Linked DNA regions of Arabidopsis thaliana. The protein of the gene in region 1 interacts with the protein of each later gene in a pairwise test. Each region holds a gene or a part of one and is shown on either strand. Other genes may lie near its edges. The genes, in order: KIPK and AT4G33920.

What was found.
Region 2: the proteins of KIPK (region 1) and AT4G33920 interact in a two-hybrid assay, tested with the Arabidopsis thaliana proteins (one large-scale study listed by BioGRID).

The regions. Positions count from the first base shown.
Region 1 is NC_003074.8:19,605,741-19,612,823, reverse strand, and holds KIPK (KCBP-interacting protein kinase), read right to left. Parts: upstream 4,928-7,083; 5' UTR 4,708-4,927; exon of another isoform or gene 3,794-4,707; 5' UTR 3,675-3,793; coding exon 1,753-3,674; intron 1,675-1,752; coding exon 792-1,674; 3' UTR 607-791; downstream 1-606. UniProt on the Arabidopsis thaliana protein: Could be involved in the negative regulation of root growth.
Region 2 is NC_003075.7:16,258,678-16,263,555, forward strand, and holds AT4G33920 (Protein phosphatase 2C family protein), read left to right. Parts: upstream 1-1,830; 5' UTR 1,831-2,198; coding exon 2,199-2,457; exon of another isoform or gene 2,458-2,703; coding exon of another isoform or gene 2,704-2,713; coding exon 2,714-3,090; intron 3,091-3,429; coding exon 3,430-3,666; intron 3,667-3,756; coding exon 3,757-4,026; 3' UTR 4,027-4,377; downstream 4,378-4,878. Other genes in the region: SSN2 (zinc finger SWIM domain protein), read left to right, coding at 4,615-4,675, 4,761-4,782. UniProt on the Arabidopsis thaliana protein: May dephosphorylate and repress plasma membrane H(+)-ATPases (PM H(+)-ATPases, e.g. AHA1 and AHA2), thus influencing negatively plant growth and fitness.

The DNA.
Region 1 (7,083 bases):
AGGTGATAGGTGCAACTGCCTAATTTTGCTGGAAAAAAATTGATATACACCCAAAAATGTGCAATTACAACTAGGCGGTATTCAAGAAAGCGGGTTACGCAGCCGTCTAGGCATCCCCTAGGTGCTAGGCGTTCATGTACCGCTTCGACTTTCTTAAAATCGATTCTATTAGGCGGTGAGGAAGATTTGGCGGACTATGCAGACATTAAGTGGATTACACGGTCATTAGGCGGGTTTAGGCGGGCTAGGCGAATCATCATTGGGCTCTACCTCCAGTCCAATGAGCTCATCCACTTGTCATATCTCAATCTCCGTGCCCGGTAATAGTAACGCTTCCTCAGATGTTTCTCTAAAACTTTCAACAAGCAATGAAGAAGAAAAAGAAGAAGAGAACCTGAGAAACAACAACAATGAGAGGGAGCAATTGAATTGGTGGAGCAATGTAGGGAACCACCACAATATGGGTGGACCATTAGCTGAGGCTTTGAGGTCAGCTTCTTCGACGTCAAGTGTTCTTCATCAGATGGGAATCTCAACTCAAGTCTTTCATTGAAGAAAAGTGTTTGTAATCTTTTGGTTTTGTAGATTAGTGTCTACTAAGATTGTAATGTTTGATCATATATTTAAAAATTGAGATACGAAGGAGCATATATATTTTTGAGAATACTATATCAGATTATGTCTCAGAGAACGCTAAATTTACATATAAGACATTTAGATTTAACTTAGATATAATAACTTACAACAACGATTACTCTGAATGCTTATACCAGAGAATATCTATGTCTTGCTTAAAACAACTCGAACTCAAGATGATCGCCTATGGCTTTACATTCAAGATACCTATTATTACTGCCTCCAGGCGAATCCGCCGCTGCCTCTGGTCCACCACCATACTCATAGAAATCCGGTAGCTCAGGCGGGATTGCACACCGGATCAGAGCCCAATTCAATCCTTCAAAAAAAGGATGTCTTTTGATCTCTACAGAACCTTTCTCTGACCCGAGCCTGTTCTCTGGTTCCTTAACAAGAAGTCCCCTGATCAAGTCTTTTGCCTGGAAGCTTACAAGCGGGCTATCAGGAAACTTGAGGTTCTGTAACACAACATTGGCCAAAGTCTCGTCGTTGTTGTAACCTTTGAATGGTGTTTTCCCGTATAAAAGCTCGTAAAGGAGAACCCCGAAAGTCCACCAGTCAACTGCAGCGCCATGTCCTTCTCCTTTGATGATCTCTGGGGCTAGGTACTCGTGTGTTCCCACAAAGGAATTGGATCTTGCTTCGGTTGGTTCAGCCACGAGCTGAGGCAATGATCTACTCAAGTGTTGTTGGGTTTTCGAAAGATGATCACCCCTTTTTGGTTTTCTACCTTGTTGTTGGTTTGAGGAGAGCCTAGGGCTGAAACACGAAACCTGGCAAGATGGTTCGGTGATACAGAATGGTTGTATGCAGTTGGATGTGTTGTATGGACCTGAAATCCTTGCGGGATCTTTACCAGGTGGAGAGTTTGACCTGACAAGAGTCGGGTTCACTGCACAACGGAGTGAGAGGTCAAAATCCGTAAGCATAATGTGTCCATCTTCACGGACAAGAATGTTTTCCGGTTTCAGATCTCGGTATATGATACCAAGCATGTGTAAGTACTCCAGTGCAAGGAGAATTTCGGCCACATAGAATCTACAGAAACAAATTTTTACAATCAATTTTCAGTACATTAAATAAGCTAGACACGAAATGGAAAAGGTAAATCTTTACCTTGCTGCAGGTTCAGGGAAACACCGGCCTAGCTGCTTCTGTCTGAGGACATGAAGATCTCCTCCAGGACAATATTCCATGACTAGACAAGATAAATTATCCGAAGTAAATTGCGCGTATAATGTAGGAAGAAAAGGATGGTCCAACATTTTAAGTATTTCTCTTTCTGCTTGTGCCCGGGGAGACTTTTTCCTTCTCGCCAAGAACTCGTTGTCCATAACCTTTATGGCAAACAAACAGTTTGTACCAATCAGCTCGGCGAGATAGACTGTTCCTATATCTCCACAACCAAGTTTCTTCAGAAGGTTGAAGTGTCGTAAACCCAAAGAGCCGTATTGAACCTTGATATGCTTAATCGCTTCCCATCTCACATCCATCGACATGTGAGGCTTATTCCCACAGCTAAATCGGCTCAGATTACTCTCCTCACTAATGCTTGTGCTCCTGCTATAATCCCCAAGACTATCTTTTGAACTCAGAGAGAACTCGAATTTCTCACTGGAAGTCGGATTCTCGGTTTCTTTTTCTACCATTGCACCGATTCCACTATTATTGCTAGAGGAAACATCTTGTTTCATTATGACAATGTCAGCTTCAGAGCTTTGACTGACATTACACGAGCCAGAGGAGTTCTCGTCAGATCCTTGATGAGCTTCTTTATTTGAAACAGAGCTCAAACTATCTGTGCAAATCTTAGGATTATGACTAGAAGTATATGAAGGTGGGTTGTCATCGATGCTGGTGCTCTTCAACGAACAGTGACATCTCTGGCAGAGAAGTTGATTGGCACTAGAGTCCAAGGAAGGAACAATTTCTTCATCGTCTTTTGTTGGGTAAGTTGCTGACACAACCCCGATTTTTAACTTCTTCTTAAGCAAAATTTTCTTTTTCGGTTGTTTGGGACGTGGAATCATTCTTGTTACCTTCCGTACTGTTTTGCCATTCTCTGTCCCTGAATTAGGTGCATCATCCAACTTCCCTTTCTGCTCTGAGTCTACAGCAGATGAGGAAATATTCTTGTCAAGCTCCGTCGCATTGACTTTCTTGCTAGAGTGAGATGGCAGTGAAGTAACGTGTTTGTCTATTTCTATCACATCATCTTCAACAAATGCATGAGTGGAAGGAGACGCAACATTTTCATCTAACTCTATCTCATAATCTCCACTGCCAGAACTAAGACAAGACCCAGGTTTGTTGGATCTATGCAACAGCTTAATCTCCCGCGTTTGATTCCCCACTCCTTGTAATCCAAAACTGGTTCCAGCTTGAGATGGCTCAGAAATGGGGTTAGAAGGATCTTCAAACCGTTGAGGTACGCTCTTTGAAGAGCTTGGTTTATCGTTTACAGGCATCAAAGGTATCTCAACCAAACTTCCTTTACCCTTGTCCACAGGAACAAGCCCAGACCTGCTGCTAGTAGATTCATTCGAAACTTGGTTATACAAACTCTTTATCCTGTCAGCTTCTGAGACCCTCGGAGATGCAGCAGCAGATTTCGACAACCGTTTCTGAGCAGCCATTTCCGACGCCTTAGAAATGCAACGATCCCTAAGAGCCTGCTTCAAAGAAACTGAATCAGAGAGACCAACAAATCTAGGAGACTGAGGTGTCCCTGGTTTTTTCATGGACGCAATTCTCTTCGAAGGGCTTGTGGTCCTGCTTGGACCGGCACTCGCGCTCGTCTCATGATGATGGAAAGAAGAACTCATCAACCTCGTAGTAGATGGTTTAACAGAAATAGACTGAAAAAGCATATCAATGTCATACTCAAGAGAACCATGATACTCTCGTTGCTTACGCTCCACCAAATCCTTACTTGATGATCCCATAACCGATTTACCATATCTCCCGGAATGTTTTGGCAATCTTACTTCATCATCCTTCTCTTCCACAATCTCACAAGCGCCTGCAAACGACCCCATCGCAACAGAGTGGATACAGAATCTAAAATCTCTGAAGATAATCAAAGCCGCACCACCGAGTTATCATTCATCTTCTTGTGATCTGTTTCTACACAAGATCCTGCAACAATCACAGTTACCTGAATGAAAAAGAAAAATCAGTAAAACTGGTAAAAGAATACTAACTTCAAATGGAGATTAATGTCTATTAGAGCAATGAGGTGAAGATATTAAAGAGAAGCAAGCAGATCTAGAAACGAAAGTTAATAGCTTTTAGGTCATTCATTATGTTTTTGTAGACTCAATCATGAACCCTATACCAGTACAGATAGAGAGACCTATAAATTTAATACAGCTAAAAAAGAAGACACTTTTAATGGAGAAAATTTGTCAAAAAGCATCTGCGTAATTGGAGATATTGTGAAAGTAAAATTAGAGTGAACAAGAACTGAGATTGGACCCATTATTAAACCAGGGGATGAGAAGAACCCTAAAGATCGAGAATTTACAGAGAAGTAACGAAATTAATAAATCAAACCGCGTAAAAAAAGAAGCTTCGAGTGAGATAAGAGATCTAACAACTAATGAGAACCAAAATCGGAAAATTTCTTATAGTTTCAGATCTCAAAAACTTAAATTTACAGGGACACAAAGAACAGTAGCTGAAGCATGAGTGCAGAATCGATTTAGCACAATTAAATGCAGCAATAATCTTAAATGTCAAATCATAGAGAGCCAATGAGTGAACAAAGAGGAGCTAGCTAATGAACACACACCCAGATTTTTTTTTTTTTTAAACTAAATTTTTGAATTGAAACTGCAGAGACCTTAAGTGACCACATAGAGATAATGAAAGGTCTGAAAAAGGAAAAAAAAATCAGAGAAACCCACCCAAAAAAAACCCTGAATACGGTCCCCAAATCTCATGAATTAAAGCAAATCAAAGAGAGGGTTACAGAAGAAAAATAAATAAAGTGCTAATGGAGGCGTGCAAAGAAGAAAAGGTAAGAGATAAAGAAGAAGCTGGCGATAAATTGAAGGAACAAAGGCTTACCCAGGACAAAAAAAGAAGAAGCTTGCTTGCTGAGAAATACACTAGAATTAGGGTGATTTTGGAGCTCAGATAAACCCTAATGGCCTTGAGCTTTGAAGAGGAAGATCCAGAGAGGAGAAATAAAAAGTAAAAGTTTTGATTTTTGTGTAATTTTTGTTTTCTGGTGAATGAGAGAGAGTTAAGAGATGATCAAGTTGAAAAAAAAAACATGGTGGGTCCCACAGCATATGTTTGCGGGTTTTTTCCTCATTTTATTATGCCTCAAAACAAATAAAAATTACTACTGTATTTTTATTACATATTTCACTTCAGAAGATATTTAATTCCATTTCAAAACTCTTTTATTATTGTTCATAAATTTATCTGAATTGTTATTGTTCTTTTATTTAAATAATTCGAGCTTTATTTGGATTTATGCTGTTTTTATTCATAGAAACAAGTATTTTAATATTATATACTGTCATGTCAAAACTGATTTCACCTCCCGGAAATGTTGATGATCAATAATTTACTTCCACCAATATCATGACATATTTGACCAAAGTCAAATTGCCAAAGAAATTTCCCATCATTCATCGAATAGTGACTAATCTATAAAAGTTGTATATCATGCTGATTTTTTTTTTTTTTTTTTTCAAAGTCATAACACTGCTCTCCAGTTGAATCTTAGATCACTAGAGTAGTAGAGGTCGACTAGATGTCTTTATCTAGCCATCTATGATTCTTCTAATCGAGCTAACTCAATCGGATTATATCAATAATATATTATAGAACTTTATTAAATAGTTTCTTTTTTTTTTTTTGGGCAAAACTAAATTGAAAAAATAATAGGGAAAAATTGAGGAAAAACCCCTTTACAATCAGAAATCCCATAAGAAAGATTATCTTGATGAAAAGATTAGTTTAGTGTAATCAATAAAAATAAATAATTACAGTATTTCGATCGTCGTATGTCTTAATTTACTGCGAACACATGGTAGTAGGTAAGATTGGTGAGAAGATAAAAATAGATGTGAATGCTTTTAAAATATAACGGTGGAGCAATATTGTCAGAATAAGACAGGTAGCCAATGCGCAGTTCTTTTCAAAATGTTTTTTCGACAACACTTCTTTCGAAGAAATAACGTTTTTATTTTGTAGATTCATATAATTTAGCAAACAAAAAAAGAACACTGTAGATTGATATGTATTTTGAATATATATTTTTAATCAGTCTTTCAAATTCATAACTATGGAACTATACTAGTACCATTTTACCTCAAAGTTCAGACATCAGATCATAAGATAAAAGTATTGAACATACAATTAAGAATTAGGCCTGTTACTAACTTAGGAAACATTAATGATTAACGAACGATATGTTCAAATTTAAGCAGACGAAAATACTACAAATCAGTCTAATGTATAAAATATTTCTGATAGAATGACTATCAGAAAGATAATAAAAAGTGGAAGGTGACTGCATTTTTATAGCCAAGCCGAGACTTTTTCGTGGGTTACTTAACTAGTTTATAGTATTTATATTTAGTTTTAGTTTTAGTTTGGTTTTATCAATTGTATGTGAAGCGGTAATAGATTAACATGATCATAATCATTTTTAGGTGTGTTGACTTTGTGTATGATGGTAGGTCAATGGGTCATATATAGATTACTTTGGATCTCGTTGATAAAGCTTATACACACGCAGGCAAATCGATCCTTTTCCTCGGTACAATATACAATGCGATTGCAATTTACAAGAAATTAGAATACGTTTTTCCACGTAAAACAGTAAATTATATGCATCATTAATTACAAATATCTCAAATAAAAACTAAAAACCATTATTGCTTCATTAGCCACCCAAGACAAATGAATTAAAAAAATAAGAAAGAATGAACTAGAATCTAATAGAAGATGCATAGGAAAAATCAAATAGAGTCTAATGGAAAATGCATAGGAAAAATCAAATAATATACAACCGTAACCATAAGATCAAGAAACATAACTTAATGATACATGATCGAGATTAATAACAACAAAGTACTTTTGAATCTGGCAAAAAAGCCTAAATCATACAGTTGGAACGTGGTGTTAGGAAATAATAGAGACTTGATAGGTCTTTGAGAACCCTTTGAGCCTAGGATTCCTCTTTCTGCGCCTTTAATCTCTTCCCTCATGCTTTTAATCCCCATTAAATATATTGTAAACACTAAACTAACACAAAAATTAGATGTGTTACGTCCGCTTCTGATTTCTTATTTAACTTAAACCAACCATCAACATCAAAAGATTTTATTATACAAACATATGCATGCGCATATTTAAATATATCAATGGTCCTGCTAATTATTTTATTCGATTTTTAAAAATATTTTGCATCTTTTCAAGAAAAAC
Region 2 (4,878 bases), on another chromosome or scaffold:
AGATAAGTTTCCGATGAAAATCTTCGCCGGCGTAACGAACCTCAATATCGGGACGCCTTTCGTCGATCCAATGAAGCACCACAAATTTCTATTTACTTTAAAATATATTGTTTTATAGTTTAATGATCAGATCTCGTTGACCAGTTTGTCATTTTCTTCACTGGTCAACAAATACAAAAAAATGCGCCGAATTTATCCTTTTTTTTGGTTGAAGTTTGGTTGCGTAGAGTGGTTTAAGTTTTGGTTCGATGGAACTTGAACGTTTTTGTGATTTGAATTAGGTGGGCTTCTTTTGAGTTGTTTTGCTTCATTCAGGCTGTCGATAATGACTTGGAATCGATCTTAGAATGTAAGGTGGATATGTAGTCCAACATTGAATTGTGTTTATGGTTAAAAAGTAAAGAATGATTATTTATTAATTATATACAGTCAAATTAGAGAGTCTTAAGCCGAGATCAATACATTATCCAACGAAATTTCAAATGAGTTTATTTTCTTAACTAATAGTCTATATTCTTGCAACTTCTTTTTGATAACCAAATAAAATGTGTAACCATTCTACAAATGATTTTCATATAGAGATTTGAGTTTAGAAAAGAATAAGCAAGAAGAAGATTCAAGTAGCCTTTGTGTCGAGAAGAAGGTTCAAGGAGCTCTCTTTGTGGGCTATAGAACTGTTGTTTAAGAAAGAAGGTGACTCATTTAATGTTTGGTTCTTGGGGTTCACAGAGCATTGTTCACTGAAGAGAGATGTGATACTAGAGAGATTCTTAGTGAGCATTGACAGAAATAATAGTAGTACTAATTAAGTTTTTTTTTGTTTGATGAATCTTGTATGCATCGGTATAATATGAGTGGATATGCAAATGTTAAAAAAAATAAAATGAATGGATCTATATATGTTGAAAATCACCCTATGATCCATAACAACGATAAATACGCATCCATAATGTTATAAATGTAAAGGTAAACATCATGATCAAAAAAGTTCGACAACTTGGGCCAATGAATTTCCAGTTGCTTCCGCGTATATATATAAGTCCTTCCACGTCAATTTCTTAATCCCAAAATGCAAACCTTTTTATAACAACCAAATAAAAATGTGCCACTTGTAATTAAATATAAATTACTCCATAAGCAATAATATTCATCGTTTTAATAGTATGCTCTAGAACACAGCACACAAAGATTTGTTTTGACCAGAACATGTTTTTTTTCTTATACCGGAAACGGTAACGTGATAATAAAATTAGGTTAATAATAATATAGATACTAAGATGACTAGATTATTAGCAAGAAATTGTATTCAGTTGTTATCCGTCTTTCTTAGTTGACAAGCAAATATATCAGCTACACGTTGGCTACAGGTTACTCATCCTTACCCATTCATTATTCGCTCATTATAACAATTTCCCACTGATATATTCAAATACAAAATATATAAGACACAAAATAGAATTAATTTATTGCTATTTGCAGACGATGTAAACATTTTTGTAGACATGAACAATTTAATTGATTCTTTACTCATCGTAGACATGAATTTATATTTCAAAAGGGTCTACTATTTCTAAATAATATTCAAACATTGACTCTGTAAATCACATATAAATAAATATATATATTATACACTACATTAATATAATATCTCCTATTTCAAAAAGAAATAAAAGTAGCTGTTGAATTTAGATATTTTTTTGTTGGACCGAATCAGAATTTAAGTTTTTGAATTGTTCCAGAAGAAAGATATTTTAGTATAATATACGGCAATGACGTTTATGTTTGGGCCAAAACTTTGTCTATTTATTGAGAAAAATAAAGCTAAATGGAGAAGAATAACAAAAATAAACAACGCGTTGAAAAAAACTGCAAAAAAAAAGAGAAGGGGGAGGGCGAAATTAAAACAAAACGACGCGTAGTCTACGTAGCCTTCTAAGAAACGGCACAAGTACAAGTCATCTCTATCAATATTCTTCTTCTTCTTCCTCACGCGGTTTTCTTTTACCACCACCAACTCAACACACACACGAATCCCTTAAAACCGATCAGATCAAACAAAAACGAACGAATCAAAATTCAATAAAAAAAAACCTTTCGATTTCTCTCATCCAATCGAATCGAAAATCTTGTTATCTCTTTCTCTCTAACTCTACTGCACTCAGAATCTCTCTGTATAGAAAAACCCTAAGTAGGTTGTGATGTTGCGAGCTTTAGCACGGCCTCTCGAACGGTGTTTGGGAAGCAGAGCTAGTGGTGATGGTTTACTCTGGCAATCGGAATTGAGACCTCACGCTGGCGGTGATTATTCGATCGCGGTGGTTCAAGCCAATTCCAGGCTTGAAGATCAGAGTCAGGTTTTCACATCTTCTTCTGCTACTTACGTCGGTGTATACGATGGTCATGGTGGACCTGAAGCTTCTAGATTCGTTAACAGACATCTCTTTCCTTATATGCACAGTAAGTTATAATCCCACTCTTCCTTCCCTAAACTTGTTTTAGGATTCTTTCTTCTTTTGACTCTTTGACTACGTTTTTGATGGTCAAAACTTATGAGATCTCTATTACCCTGATCATTTCAATATTAAAAGATTCGAATTTTGCTATGAAGTTTTGGTCTTTGTGAACATGTTCAGGTTTGTAAATTGCCTCTTGAATTGATTTTGTAGTCATGTTCTTGTTAGTGAAATTTACAGGATTGGTTTTATGATTGCAGAATTTGCAAGAGAACATGGGGGATTATCTGTAGATGTTATCAAAAAGGCATTCAAAGAAACAGAAGAAGAGTTTTGTGGTATGGTTAAACGATCCCTTCCCATGAAACCGCAAATGGCTACTGTAGGATCTTGCTGTCTTGTTGGTGCAATCTCTAATGACACACTGTATGTTGCTAATCTTGGGGACTCGAGAGCCGTTCTTGGAAGCGTTGTTTCAGGGGTTGATAGTAATAAAGGTGCCGTAGCTGAACGGTTATCTACTGATCATAATGTTGCTGTTGAAGAAGTGAGAAAGGAGGTTAAGGCACTTAACCCTGATGACTCACAAATCGTCTTATACACACGTGGAGTTTGGCGGATTAAAGGCATTATTCAGGTATAACTTAGTTTTGCTTGCCTGCTTGTTAAATTGCGTGTGATTACATAGCATCTGTGATGAAGTTATAATATTTAAAAGGTGTAATCTGATGTTGTTTTTTCTTTTCTCTTTTCATTTATATAAATGGGGGCTTGCAATGTTCCAGGAATCCGTCACACGGGCTCCTGCAACGTTTCTTCCCCAGTGGATTTTGTGCTTTTCTAAGAATTCCCGGTAGTCAGAGCTATACATAATAATGAAGATACATGCTTTTTAGTTGCTTGTGACCTTTCCGTGAATGTTTGAGCTCGTTGTATATTAGTTAGCTAAATCGTTTTCATATACGCTTCTTTATAGGTATCGAGATCAATTGGGGATGTATACTTGAAAAAACCGGAGTATTACAGGGACCCGATTTTCCAGCGACATGGAAATCCCATTCCTTTGAGGAGACCCGCGATGACAGCCGAACCCTCCATTATAGTAAGGAAGCTTAAGCCACAGGACTTGTTTCTGATATTTGCATCAGATGGTCTCTGGGAACATCTTAGTGATGAAACAGCCGTAGAAATCGTCCTCAAACACCCAAGAACTGTAAGTTTTCCCTAAACTCAAGTTTGCTTTGTATCTTCACATTTATGTTAGCTACTTAGTTTATTTATTTATTAACTCTGTGTTCTACAGGGTATTGCCCGAAGACTTGTAAGAGCTGCTCTGGAAGAAGCGGCAAAGAAGAGAGAAATGAGATATGGAGATATAAAGAAAATAGCCAAAGGAATTCGACGACATTTCCATGACGACATAAGCGTTATTGTAGTTTATCTAGATCAAAACAAAACCAGTTCATCGAATAGTAAATTGGTGAAGCAAGGAGGTATCACCGCTCCACCGGATATCTACTCATTACACTCTGATGAAGCAGAGCAACGACGGTTACTCAATGTGTTATACTGACTGTTTGATTATGGTAAAATGGCTGCTTGGGAAAGATCCGAATAGGGAGAAAACTTGTTTACATATTTGTTTATTTGTTTTTCTACGAAGAACTGGTTTTTTTTTTTTTTCAATATTGGAGTTGGATTTGTATATTCTTTTACCAGCAAAGAAGGTCGAAACCCTTTAGTTTTTGGGCAAAGCAGTTTTGCTTTTGACACAAACAATACTTTTGTATGAAAATCTAGTGTGAAACCGTTGAGGACAACTCTTCATATATCAGATTGTTTTTTTTTATGACCTTGTATGGAGAGATTAGTATATTGAATTATTTGTCTATAATAACTAAATAAAAACATTATCGATCACAAACCAAAATAAGCCAACAAAATTCCAGATGTTGCCTAAATTTTGGAAAATATGCATGACAGACATTCGAAACTTCAGATCCAAATCAAACCGAAATTGAAATTTGTCAAATATCTAAACCGAATTGAACACGAGCGGTTTTTGAGAATATGAAATTGGGCAGAGCAATTCAAACTCAAAAATTCAACAATTCCAGAAGAACTTTCTCAGAAAAGTTTCGACGGAAGAAAAAGCAAAACGATGAACGTCACTCTTTTGGTCGCAGACGCCGTTTGGTCGAACATTGAATCAACCGGTTCAGGTACTTCACCATTTTACTACTTCTCTCTTTCCTTTTCCTTGTTTACGACATTTTATTCCGTTGAATTTTCCATCTTTTTCTGCAGTAACCGAAGAACAGCTCTCAATGTCAGTTCTCTCTTATACATAGCTGGGATTCTTTATTTTTCCCGAAAATATTTATTGATTTTTCTTCAGTCGTTTGGTATGATTAGGGTTTATCGA